Xenopus tropicalis: one gene and its partners. The protein of the gene in region 3 interacts with the protein of the main gene of each other region in a pairwise test. Links are inferred from orthologs where the notes say so. Each region holds a gene or a part of one and is shown on either strand. Other genes may lie near its edges.

The links. The genes of interacting proteins can lie anywhere in the genome.
Region 1: the proteins of dhx15 (region 3) and rbm5 interact in binary tests that used the Homo sapiens proteins (3 or more experiments, as listed by UniProt). The link is inferred for Xenopus tropicalis from reciprocal best matches to the Homo sapiens genes DHX15 and RBM5.
Region 2: the proteins of dhx15 (region 3) and rbm17 interact in binary tests that used the Homo sapiens proteins (3 or more experiments, as listed by UniProt). The link is inferred for Xenopus tropicalis from reciprocal best matches to the Homo sapiens genes DHX15 and RBM17.

The regions. Positions count from the first base shown.
Region 1 is NC_030680.2:126,299,097-126,303,348, reverse strand, and holds part of rbm5 (RNA-binding protein 5), read left to right. Parts: intron 1-1,817; 5' UTR 1,818-1,859; coding exon 1,860-1,876; intron 1,877-1,985; coding exon 1,986-2,151; intron 2,152-2,781; coding exon 2,782-2,952; intron 2,953-3,345; coding exon 3,346-3,415; intron 3,416-3,978; coding exon 3,979-4,052; intron 4,053-4,252. UniProt on the Homo sapiens protein: Component of the spliceosome A complex. Binds to ssRNA containing the consensus sequence 5'-AGGUAA-3'. Regulates alternative splicing of a number of mRNAs.
Region 2 is NC_030679.2:84,304,958-84,309,209, reverse strand, and holds part of rbm17 (splicing factor 45), read left to right. Parts: intron 1-1,971; coding exon 1,972-2,110; intron 2,111-3,137; coding exon 3,138-3,289; intron 3,290-3,629; coding exon 3,630-3,706; intron 3,707-3,852; coding exon 3,853-3,951; intron 3,952-4,252. UniProt on the Homo sapiens protein: Splice factor that binds to the single-stranded 3'AG at the exon/intron border and promotes its utilization in the second catalytic step. Involved in the regulation of alternative splicing and the utilization of cryptic splice sites.
Region 3 is NC_030677.2:31,426,367-31,430,618, reverse strand, and holds part of dhx15 (pre-mRNA-splicing factor ATP-dependent RNA helicase DHX15), read left to right. Parts: coding exon 1-1; intron 2-1,033; coding exon 1,034-1,227; intron 1,228-1,506; coding exon 1,507-1,666; intron 1,667-3,130; coding exon 3,131-3,349; intron 3,350-4,252.

The sequences.
Region 1 (4,252 bases), on a different chromosome or scaffold from region 3:
AATTATCACAAAAGAGTTCATATAACTAGGTTAGGAAAATCCATTTGGGGGATCCAAGAGATTATTTGGGATAGTGAAGACTTTATGTAGCAATGTATTCCTATGACTGGTATAAGTAAAGTTGGAAGCTGCTCATATTCAATGAAGGGGTTGTACCAGAGAGTCAGAAAACCATGGCTGTAATAGGATTCATAACAAACTAATGCGCTTGAGCGATAAACAGGAATGCAGGGCTTAAGCTGGCCATACATTATAAGATCTGCTTGTGGGTTGTTTTGTGTATCACCGCCCTCTTTGCAGCTTGTTTGATGAGAATCCCCAGGACTATTCTTGTGCAAAGAAACCTGTTTAGACTCACAGCCATTGTAACCATAGTCTTCTGCTGCTCATTTGGGCTTGTACTAGGGCCAGGATAATGCAGTCGCTACAGTTTTGACAGGTTTGTCATTTTGTTGTTAGAGCTAATGCTGAAAATATTTGCTTTTTAAATGCTGCAAAATGTCTGGAATCGTACCATTGCTCGCACTCTATCGCCTCAGTGATTCACTAAAAAAAATTTTGTCCTACCATTTGTCATTGACAGCTGTTTAACGTGACATATCTTTGTGATGGCCAAACCCAAAGGGTTTTTTATTACAAAGTGGGCAGTGACTATAGTGTATAGGTGGCCAAAATGGGCAGATTCAGCAGCTTATCTGCTGTGTATGGACCCCCGACGGATATAAGGGGGGTCCATCTATGCTCTGATGGTCATTGTTAGGTAGACAAATCAGAAGGAAGATCAATCTCGCCAAGCAAATGAATCCTTAACATGTATGGTCTCCTTAACTTGTTGATTACTCTGATAACCCCTTTGAGAGCTGCCTGCACTACTTGTATTGGTTAGTGACATGTATCATGTTGTGACAAATTGGACCAAAGTTTTTATTCTGAGAGGCAAGGAACTTTGTATGGGTGTCTAAAAATTAGGGACCATTAGTCCATACTTGTGACTTCATTTGACTGCATGTTTGTTTTAATTATTTGTTAAAACTTCATCTATAAATAAAATATATATTTGAGTAGATACACATTGGCATGCTTGTGTTACAGTACTAAGATAGGGACAGAAGGGGACATATTGAGTTGGTCACGTGGAAGCTTCATAGAGCCAGAATCCATGGAAATTAGCTTCCTTTTATGTAATATTTTGCAATTTAAAGCCCATGTCTGTAAGTATAGATTTATTAATTTTGTAGTACATGTCCCTTAATTCCAGTCTTGTTAGGGAGCAGGATTTAAGCTCAAGGTTAGTTTTGTGTAGACCCAGCAATTTTTTTTTTTTTAACGTGCGCTAAAGGGTTGGGGGATATAGCGACTGCAGCAATGTTTAGTGCTCTATCATCCAGAGAAAGGAAGTGGAATCTTGCTGAACAGGAAGCTTTGTGAACACCTCTAATGGGGGGGAAACCATTTTTGCATGATAGGTGCCTTTAAGTCCTGCCATCTGATTGGTAAGCCAGTGTGCTTCCACACAAACTAAGGGCCTGTGTATGGCTACTATTCCCTTTATAACTGTAATTGTTAAGCAAACTGAAGAACAAGAGAGTTTAAGGTATTTGCATTTGTAAACCTTATTTTGTACATGTAAATTTGAAAAGATCCTTTGGCATTTATTAGGAGGTACATTTTATAAAAAAGTTCTCTTTAAAAGTCTGTAACTGCTGAAACGCCTGGTGAATGGTGTACAAGTATACACTCCGCCTTGCCTTTTACTGATTACGATAAACTATTCCACTGCTGACATCAATGTGTTTCTGTCCCTCCCCCCGATACAGACTTTATCACAGCCACCGCTTGCTGATCTAAAAGTGTGAGCCATGGGATCAGATAAACGGTAAGACTTGAAATTTTATTTATATCTTGTATAGCAACATAATTTATGCAGTGCTTTTTCCGTTAAACTGTCTTTAGATGATGAGCATTATTAAAATCAAATTTTACAGTGTGAGTCGCAGTGAGCGGAGTGGAAGATATGGTTCAGCATTTGATCGAGATGATCGCGATGATAGAGACACTAGGAGCCGTCGCAGAGATTCTGAATACAAAAGATACAGAGATGAACGCAGCAGCGAACGCTACGATGACTACAGAGATTATGACAGTCCCGAGGTGAGTACGCTCTATGAGGATTTTAAAATTATTAAACATGTCAAGTTTACACTGAGCCCATATTAAAATCATTGCAGATAAACAAAATTGATTGTAGCTTATAAAAGCAAATCCCATTCTTTTATGGCTAATTATTGTAAGGTCTGTTTTGTTAGCTGAGAAATGCCTTAGGGCTTATCAAAGAATATACCATGGGGTGCATTTATTAACACTGGAGACATCCATCAATGATGATGTTACCCATAGCAATGAATCAGATCTTTGCTATTGTTTTAGGTGACCATTAAAATGTAAATGCTGATTGGTTGCTATGAGCAACATCACCTGTCATGTTTGTCTTCGATGTTAATAAAGTACTCCCCCATGTTTAGCTTTTATACTGATTTTGGTAACAAGTAGCATGATTGTAGATTTTTTTTTTTTTTTTTTTAGTACAGCAGTGTTACATTAATGTCACTATGTGACATGAGTACTTGGAATAGTATATAATACTAGTTTACTTTATTCAAAACACAAGTTGCCTCATTTTAATTACACAGTAGGTTGTGTAGGTAGTCCTGTGTTTCATTCAGATTCTATAACTCTGTGATGTTTTATTTCTGATGTCTCTCGTTTTTGTAACTGTTTTAGCGTGATAGAATGCGTGACAGAGAGAGGAGGAACAGTGATCGTTCAGAAGATGGTTATCATTCAGATGGTGACTATATGGACCATGACTACCGGCAGGACTATTACATGGATGAAAAAGAGAGCAAGACGATCATGCTAAGGGGCCTCCCCATTAATATTAATGAGAACGACGTGAGTTATGCATGCAGTTTTTCCCACTATAGTTCTTTCAAAACATTTAGCTAAAGTGAGGCTTATGATTGGTCTGCAGAATGGAGTAGGTTGGCTTTACTTGTCATTTTAATATATTGCAGCTTACAAACATTGCATATTTGTCTAGGCCACCGTTACATGTAAAGAGCTTGTCAGTGACTGAAAAAAAAAAAACTGAAGAGGACCCACATAGAAAAGCAGTACATGTAGCTTTACCTAGCAGTCTAACAAATTTACACTTCAGATTGGAAAGCTAGAAAGAATTCAAAGCTTATAAGCCTTTTGGTGAAGTGTGTAGTAGGGGGAACATAACAATTTAAAGCATGTTCAAACAGGCATTGTTTCCCCACTTAATGATTTTGTGCATTTTAGATTCGTGAACTAGTGGAGTCTTTTGAAGGACCGCAGCCTGCTGATGTGCGGCTGATGAAGAGAAAGACAGGTGAGGTTCTATCTGGCGTGAGGCTTTGGACTGTTGCTCTTTCTGAAATCCACTACTTTTACACTGCTCTCCCCTTTGGTGATAAGGCCCCTGCTCATCCCACATTCAAAATCAGGCTTTTATCAACCTTTTATGGCTAAGGAACCTCTTAGTTTGAAATTTTGTGATTTTGTTTTATGTGTAGCATATTGTTAAATGAAGACTTTGGTAAGTAGAACTGTAGGCTTTTACTGTTGCACGGGTGGTTTTACCACTCCTTCCTGAATACAACTGATGGACTTGGAGTCTTCAGTACCTGTAACACATGTGGGGTGCAGCCTCTTGGTAAGCACTGTACACGTGACAAAATTATAGGATCGTGGGCATAAATTGCCTGGAGGTTCCTTTTTTTGTTTTTATGGCAAGCCCTGTATAGACAGGTAGGAGGACTACACCCATGGAAGCCATGCCATAAAGCACTGCTAGAACCATGGGCTTTGTCAGTTGGAGAGATGCAGCTGTGTTTTATGTAAAAGGAACTAACTAACACTAGTATCCCGTCTATATCTGAATGCTGTCTCTAGGTTTAAGCCGCGGTTTCGCCTTCGTGGAGTTTTATCACTTGCAAGATGCTACCCGCTGGATGGAAGCCAATCAGGTTGCTTCACTCGCCAAGTCTAGAATACTCCTGAGAAATGGCACATTTACATATGTCTGTAATTAAGATCGAAAAGCAGGGGGGAGGGGATAAAGGGAGAGAGGCTCAGGGGAAACTTGACAAAGGTAATACATGCTCTGTGTACATTAAAGTTCTATAGTCTGTATGTAGACTGCGCTGTAAAGACTAGTGGTAAACAC
Region 2 (4,252 bases), on a different chromosome or scaffold from region 3:
GGGAGGTGAACCTGGCAGGGGTTTGTTTTGGGAGTTTGTTAGCAGTTGGTAATAGCCATTAAATGGTCACTAAGGTGTGTAATTATGTGCTGGGGGTTTCTGGGCTATCCACAGGGGAGAAGGAGGCATATGGATTTAAGGCTGTGTCTTAATATGACATACTATAATTCTTTCACATATGAATGATGGTTGATATCCCTCCAGTGAGGACCAAGCATTTGGGTTTTTGCTGCGCTACTACCATTTATCACAATGGTAGTAGTTCAGCAAAAACCCAAATGCTTGGTCCTCACATGGGTGTTGTTTGAAGTGGGTGTGGTTTAAAAAGGGGGAGTGGTCAAACTGACTCCCGTTAGCGGCCCTCCACTATGTATGCTAGAGAAATTTGGCCCTCGGCACCACAGAAGTTTGACTGGTGTAAGGAATGAGGTTGTTCAGTAAGAGAATGGGCAGTACCTCTAAACTGTTCATGAACTTGTGGGGAGGTATAGGTCTCAGTCATAGACTGCTGTATGTTTTAGCTCAGACTGTAAGGCCCCAATATAAGCTATAGTATTTCTAGCCAAATAATTTGTTGGGCTTTAATGTTGCTTTAATTCAATTCAGTCTGGTATCTCCAACTTTACCAGATTTACCACCACTAGATGGCGGTTCATTCAAATCTGTGAAAGATGACTGCACGAATCTGTATTAAAGGATCATGTAACTAACACAACAATCTGTGCTTGAATTGTTTGACATCTGTTTAATCAGTTAAGAAAATTTAAACTTGAAACACATATATTTACCATTGTAGGAAGTGTAGGAAATCCCAATGCTGGCACCAATTTAAATCATGGCAGGTGCCAGAACATTGAATGGAAGACCTGTTCACCAGTAAACTGCCCCAGGGATGGAAATGGCTTTTAAAGGAGAACTATACCCCCGGGCGCAAAAAGCTCCCTTAACTATAATTGCTTAGATCCCCCCTCACCTCTCCAATATTGCATAGTTTTAACGTTTCTACTCTGCTCCTATCGCTAACCGCTAGCTAAAAAAACAGATAAGCGCAGCCACGTACTTCACCGACATCTTACTGGTTGAAGACACTTCGGGTCTCTCTGCCAATACGAACTTGCTTGGCCACGCGCAGTTGGAGGTAGCCTGAAATCTGCTTCAACTGTGCATGCGCAAGCAGGCTAGGTGTCAGTGGTAAGACCTGAAGAGTCTTTAGTCAGTAAGAAGATTTCTCTGTATTAAGGGAGAGGTGAGGGGGGTCTAGGTAATGATAGTTAAGGGGGATTTTTGCGCCTGGGGGTATAGTTCTCCTTTAACAATTATGAGTATCCACTCAACTGCTTGGTAAATAAATATTGAATTGAATTAGAGGTTATAGTGCACCATTTATGTTAGGACTGCAACTACTTAAGTGAGCAGTTGTGTGTTGAACTTAAAGTTGCTTTAGTTATTTCCCAACTTGTAGAAAAGTGAGATAACTGCAGTTGACTTATGTGACGACTTGCTTTTTAAAATCACCAATACATGCAACAGGGGCAGTAATCCATGGCAACTAATTGCCAGTTTTTTGCTTTCAGTGTTTTGCCTAAAGCAGGCTGAAAATTGATTGATAACTGCAGTAATGGGTTACTGCACAGGTGCAGTTTTGCCCAATGTTAATAAGTGAGACCAAAGTGTCCTGCAGGGCCTGTATAATGCATAAATTAATGAATCAAATGATGCAAACTTTTAGTTCACAAGTATCTGTGGAACAATATGGGCAAGTTGATTTGCTGCCCATGGGCCAACAGTGAAAACCAAAAGATTTGCCTTCTGCATACAGGCTATCGTATGGATCCTGTGAAGAATTACAAAATGTGTAGCAGCTAAAATGTTGTGCCCCCTATACACACAATTTCTACTGAATTGCTAAAGAGGCAGTAACAGTTTTTAACCTGTCATACAGTTTGTTCTAATTATGTGTTTTTGATCTAGCTATTGTGCCTGCTTATGATGACGAGCCAAGGCCACGACCACCAATGGCAAAGGCTGCAATTCCACCACCTATGTATGATGAGCCAGAGAGACCAAGATCACCAACTGGGCCTAGCAATTCTTTCCTTGCAAATATGGGGTATGGAATATGGTTTTCTGTGTAAAAGAGTAGCTTACAATATTGTATACATTTATAAATAGTTTTGAAACTCTGACTGATAATTATACACAGTCCTATTAATTTTATTATCCTCAGACATGATCCAGTATCCCAACTGATTTCTCTTTTTCTTTTAAATGTAGCATTGAAAGACAATGCCTTACCTCATATATGATTGGCTAAACATACAGTACTTGCTTTTGGATGTATTGAATTAAGATGTATGCTGCTGATTCAACCTCTCTTGCACAAAATCACAGCCAATTATCCTGCGTGGGGGACCAAAACGATCTTTCTGGTCCAATATTTTTCAGTGATTATCAGATAACTGGACAGAGGAAAATCTGGTTGTCCCCAACTACATCGGGCTGTATATACTCTATATTCAGCCACACCGCACAACCACTTACATAATCCGCATATTGAACTGGCGACCAGACACTTAGATTGGGCTAATTTGTAAATCAATAAATGTTTGATCTTATGGAGTATAGTGATGCTAACTCAACAGTGTCCTCCAGTGCCTAATGTATTATCAAATGTGGCAGAATGCTTGTCTGGCTTTGTATGATATTTTTTGTACTAAACATCTCTCAGACATGGGACTGCTATTGTTTTACAATAGAAACAAAACGCATCTCACCTGTCCCTGTCCGGTGTTCCATAGGCACATCTCTAGGGTAATTACTGACAGGCAGATAGTGGTGTCTTTGCACTGGTTTCCACCTGAAACTTCACTGTGACGATCGAAAACTCATTCTGTGTGATTAGCCTAGATATTTTCTTTATGAAAATCCTTAGGGATAATTAAAAATTAAGGTGCAGTGGCATATTAGGTAACTTTTCTGAAAGTATGTATAAAACTGAAATGGGCAAAATTCCATGTATATATGGTGACTGTGCTACTCCCTTGCTCATCACTTTATATGGGTTCATATTTACTTACAGCTACTGTAGGGGGCAAAAATAAGCTGAGGTTTTGTGTACTTTGTTTCTGTTTTTAAAGTGGTACTGTGGCCCACAAAATCATGCAGAAGTATGGCTTTCGGGAAGGACAGGGCCTTGGCAAGCACGAGCAGGGTCTCAGCACTGCACTTTCTGTTGAAAAGACAAGCAAGAGGGGAGGCAAAATTATTATTGGTGACTTAGCTGACAAAGGTTTGTTGTTTTGAGTAACAATTTTCAGATACTAATATATAAAGTGTGTGTATGGATATGTGGATATAACTTATGTAGTGCATATAAATAAATATTTTTGTTTTTTTCCCAAGTTTTTTTTTTTTTTTAACATGGGTGTGTGTGTGTATGTATGTATGTATGTATATGTGTATGTATATATATATATATATATATATATATATATATATATATATATATATATATATATATATACACAAAGTCAAGAGTTTCACAATAACGCCTAATAGTGCAGATTCCTTGCTTCATTGGTGATTTTTTTCATTTAAAGTGTTTTAAATAGAAATTTAATCTCTTACAGTTGAAGCAGCTAAGAAAGCAGATCCAAACCCTCTGACAGAAATACTAAAGAATCCTACTAAAGTTGTTTTGCTTCAGGTAAGAAGGGCAGCAGCCCAAGGTTTATCGGCCAAAAATATGTTCATAGGGAGACTTTTTTATAATTGTAATTTGCGCTTTTTCTGCTATTGGAAAACACTCAATTTTTGTTGTCAAAAGCTCATTCTGCTGATTTCTACTTCTAGAACATGGTAGGTGCTGGGGAAGTTGATGAAGATCTGGAAGCTGAAACAAAGGAAGAGTGTGAAAAATACGGCAAAGTTGGAAAATGTGTCATTTTTGAGGTAATAACCAGCATGTATGGTATAGGTGTCGTGCTTTTGCTTTACTTAGTACTAATGATATGAGTGCTGCCTTAGTATGTTATGCAGTAGCAGTGGTGTATCCTTAGTATTGTAACTGTGTTTATGAAATGCAGCAACAGTATTCAAGGGCACCCATCCTAAAGGCCAGATAAAATAAGATTCGTTTTTAGTTAGATGCTTGTAGGGGTACACTGACATTGAGCACATGGCTTCGATCAGAAGAACTGGGAATGGAAGTGAGCAGGTATAAATTAAGCTAAAAAGTGCACAAAATGGCATA
Region 3 (4,252 bases):
GGTATTTTATTTTGCCTGCATTTAGCTTTTCTGGCAAGGATTATTTTTGTGTTATACAAATATAACAATAAAGCAAACTGTATATTTATTTCAAAGAATAATTATCATAGAATGAAGGTGGTCCCTGCTGCATAGACCTTACAGTCGGTGGTTAATATAAGGGCACACATAGTATAGTAATCAGTACTGTTCTTCACATTGGGTAGGGCATTAACCCATTATTAGTCAGATTTTCATATATTTTGTTAGTGCTCTAAATGTAGTTTGCAGTAGTCTAGGTGGCATAGGATAAGGGGATTGTTTTAAGGAATAAGAGCAAGGTTTTAGTTTAGGCCAAAGACTTGAGTGCTTGTCAAATAGCAGAAGGTAGTGAAGAGGTTAACCCAAGAAGTTTTTTGCGTGGTCAGTCAACACTTGGTATAAAAGTAGGGTACAAATAATATAACTATTGATTTAACATCTACTGTATTAATATAGAAATAGCATATAACCATCATTCCTCTGCCCCCCAAGCATCAAAATCCTGACTGGCACAGGGATTGTTTTAGGGTTGGCAGAAAGAAAGAGCATTAGACCTGGATCCCATCATCAAAACATAGAGGAAAATGTTAATTGTTTTAGTTTTAGTGAATACTGTGATGCTCTCCTATATTATCCTATCAGGGTCGGATTGGGGGTCTCCGGAGCCCACCCCTCTGCATGCCTTGTTGCTTTTGCACCCGTTGTGGGGCAGGAGTGCCAGGGTGTGCGACTGAGTCAGTGGGGCCCTCAAGGTGCTCATGGTTCCCAGCTGGCCCACTCTGACACTGTATCCCAGCATCTCACCTATAGATGGGACCACAGCTTTCCTGCATTGCCAGACACCTCCCCAGGAAATCAATGCTCTTTGCTTGTTAAGTAATCTGTGTTCTGTATAAACAGGCACCACACACTTACATGTTGATGTTTGAGATGGTATAATCAAACTCTTGTAATGTACTTTCTCTTGTGAGTGCCTGGGACATATCCACTCTAACATTTATCATTTATTTAGATTCCACAGTGGTGTGTCGACTACATGAGGTCATTGCCTGGTCCCAAAAGAGGCGTTGCATGTACCCAGCCAAGAAGAGTGGCTGCCATGAGTGTGGCTCAAAGAGTTGCAGATGAAATGGATGTCATGTTGGGTCAGGAAGTTGGTTATTCCATTAGGTTTGAAGACTGCAGCAGTGCAAAAACAATCTTGAAGTAAGTTGTCTGAATTTTTAATTTTTTTTTAGTGAGCAGCTTTTTATTTCAAAGGCTGCAGGTTAGGAAAGAGGGGTTAGTTCATTTTAAACAAAATACCCTGTTTATAGGGGGTAAGTTAAGTAAAAAATGAACAGATTAAGTAATTGGAAAGAAATTGTTTTTGCGCAACCTGACAGGTCCAGGGCCCTCAAAGTTTTGTGTGCCATAGGCCTTATAGTTGAATTGTAGTGCTTTTTAAAAACTTTGTTTCTAATTTGTCTGTTTATTTCCCTTTAGGTACATGACAGACGGTATGTTACTCCGGGAAGCTATGAACGATCCATTGTTGGAACGCTATGGGGTAGTGATTCTTGACGAAGCTCATGAAAGGACCTTAGCAACAGATATTCTAATGGGTGTTTTAAAGGAAGTTGTAAGACAAAGGAATGACTTAAAGGTGAGTGTTCCTTCCTAATATGTTTTATGTAATTGTATTTAATTTAGTGTTTAGGGCGAGGTCACAGAAGTGGATAGCCGATTCTCTCCCTGCATTTTTTTTACAAGAAGTGGATTTGGTTGCCTACGCTTCTCTGTGTGCCACTGTTAAAAGCAAAAAAAACAAAAAAGAGGGGTGGATTGGAGATTGGCCTGAAAAACGTGAAAACTGACATTTCCCAAGTTGACCCCCATTCTGTGTGCCCACTTAGGCAGTTTCCATAATTTGTAATGCAGACACAGAGGAGCGTAGGCAATTGGATCCACTTATCTCAGCCTGGCCAGAAAACACAGGGCTAAGACAAGCGGATATAAATTTTGTGTAACCTCGCCCTTAATGTCTGGCATCTCCACCTGCAATTCTCTTTAGCTATATTCATCCAGATTGTGAGCATACAAAGTTGTGTAGGAAGCCAAACTGCAAGCATGATTGTAAACAATTACTACAGAGAAGTCCCTGTTTATGCATTAGATTAGGGCTAACTTGACAGACTAGTTTTTTAGTGAGATGAGGGCAGGGAATGAATGGATTCCTCTGTTATATTGCCGTGCTGTATGGGGAATTTCCAGAGAATATTCTGCTAATGCCACTACAAAATGTACTATCCCCCACAGAACACCTGTAAAGGGGTAAATAATGCAAGATAGTTCGCTTAAATTCTGTGTCATTGTTGCAGTTTATCCAGTTGACCAATGTGGCCAAAATCAGTAACCAAAAATGTGTTGTTTTCTTGTAATCAGGCTATCTAACAGATAGGTCTGATCTTTCTTTCAGGTGTTTCATGGCTTTTCAGGCCCCCTAGTTGTATTTCAGAATGAGGAAGTCTAATCTTCTCAGTGTAGCTGATCATTTATAGAGAGCTGGTTTATTCTTTTTCCCTGTTAATGTAATTACGTTTTTAAGACTTGGACTTGGTATAAGGATTTTATTTAGGTTTTTTTTTTTTTTAGATACCATGACAGCACCAGATATTAATCTGTCTCTTATTGGAAGTGATTTTACAAACAAACTATTATAGGGCAGTGTGCTCCAATGTCTCGTCTTGGGACATGCTAAATATGAACAAAGTATTCCTCTATTGGCTGTAATATTGCAAAAAATTGTAATTTTGTATGCTTAATGAAAACTAATCACATTCTTTCTTTTGTCTTTATTATCAATTTAAGCATGTGGCTTTAATATGTTTCACTTGATATTTTTGCCAGTAAATTTTACAGGGTCAATAAAGGTATCTCCGTGAAGTTTTAAGAAAATACCTCACTGATTTTATTTTCCCTAATATTATTCTTACAATTCTGTAAAGATTGCCTAGTTTTTTTTTTTTTTTTTTTTATAGGTTTGTCAATAGCCTTTAAAGTTTTGTTGAACATGTTGTTAACTTGCTGTTTGCGTCGGTTATATATTTTTTTCTTATTTCTCCCCCAGGTTATAGTTATGAGTGCCACTTTAGATGCTGGCAAATTCCAGGTATATTTTGATAGCTGCCCTCTTTTAACAATCCCTGGACGAACACACCCTGTAGAAATCTTCTATACTCCAGAGCCTGAGCGGGATTACCTAGAGGCAGCCATTCGAACAGTGATTCAGATTCACATGTGTGAAGAGGAGGAAGGAGATCTCCTGCTTTTTCTTACTGGACAAGAGGTTTGTAAGGAGGCAAATTATTTTGCTTTTATATTATCAATTAAAGGGGTGTCTCTATGCAAGCGACGTTATATAATCTAAGGCTTGTATAGGGTTTCCCTTTTATAGTAGTCATAGATGTTTTCTGCCGTCTGAGAAACACAATCTGTCCCCTTTAAAAGTGTATCTAGCAGCAATGAAACATTACCAGAGTTAGTCTGTACATAGTTACATAGGGTTGAAAAAAGACCAGTGTCCATCAAGTTCAACCCATCCGAGTAAACCCAGCACATCTAACCCACACCTACCAATCTATACACTCGCATACATAAACTATAAATACAACCACTAGTACTAACTGTAGATATTAGTATCACAATAGCCTTGGATATTCTGATTGTTCAAGAACTCATCCAGGCCCCTCTTAAAGGCATTAACAGAATCTGCCATTACCACATCTCTAGGAAGGGCATTCCACAACCTCACTGCCCTCACCGTGAAAAACCACCTACGCTGCTTCAAATGGAAGCTCCGTTCCTCTAATCTAAAGGGGGGGCCTCTGGTGCGTTGATTGCTTTTATGGGAAAAAAGAACATCCCCCATTTGCCTATAATCCCCTCTAATGTACTTGTACAGAGTAATCATGTCCCCTCGCAAGCGCACTCTTTTCCAGAGAAACCAACCTCAACCTCGCCAGTCTCACCTCCTAGTTTAAATCTTCCATCCCCTTAACCAGTTTAGTTGCACGTCTCTGCACTCTCTCCAGCTCATTAATATCCCTCTTAAGGACTGGAGCCCAAAACTGCACTGCATACTCAAGGTGAGGCCTTACCAGGGACCTATAAACGGGCAAAATTATGTTCTCATCCCTTGAGTCAATGCCCTTTTTTATACAAGACAGCACTTTATTTGCTTTAGTAGCCA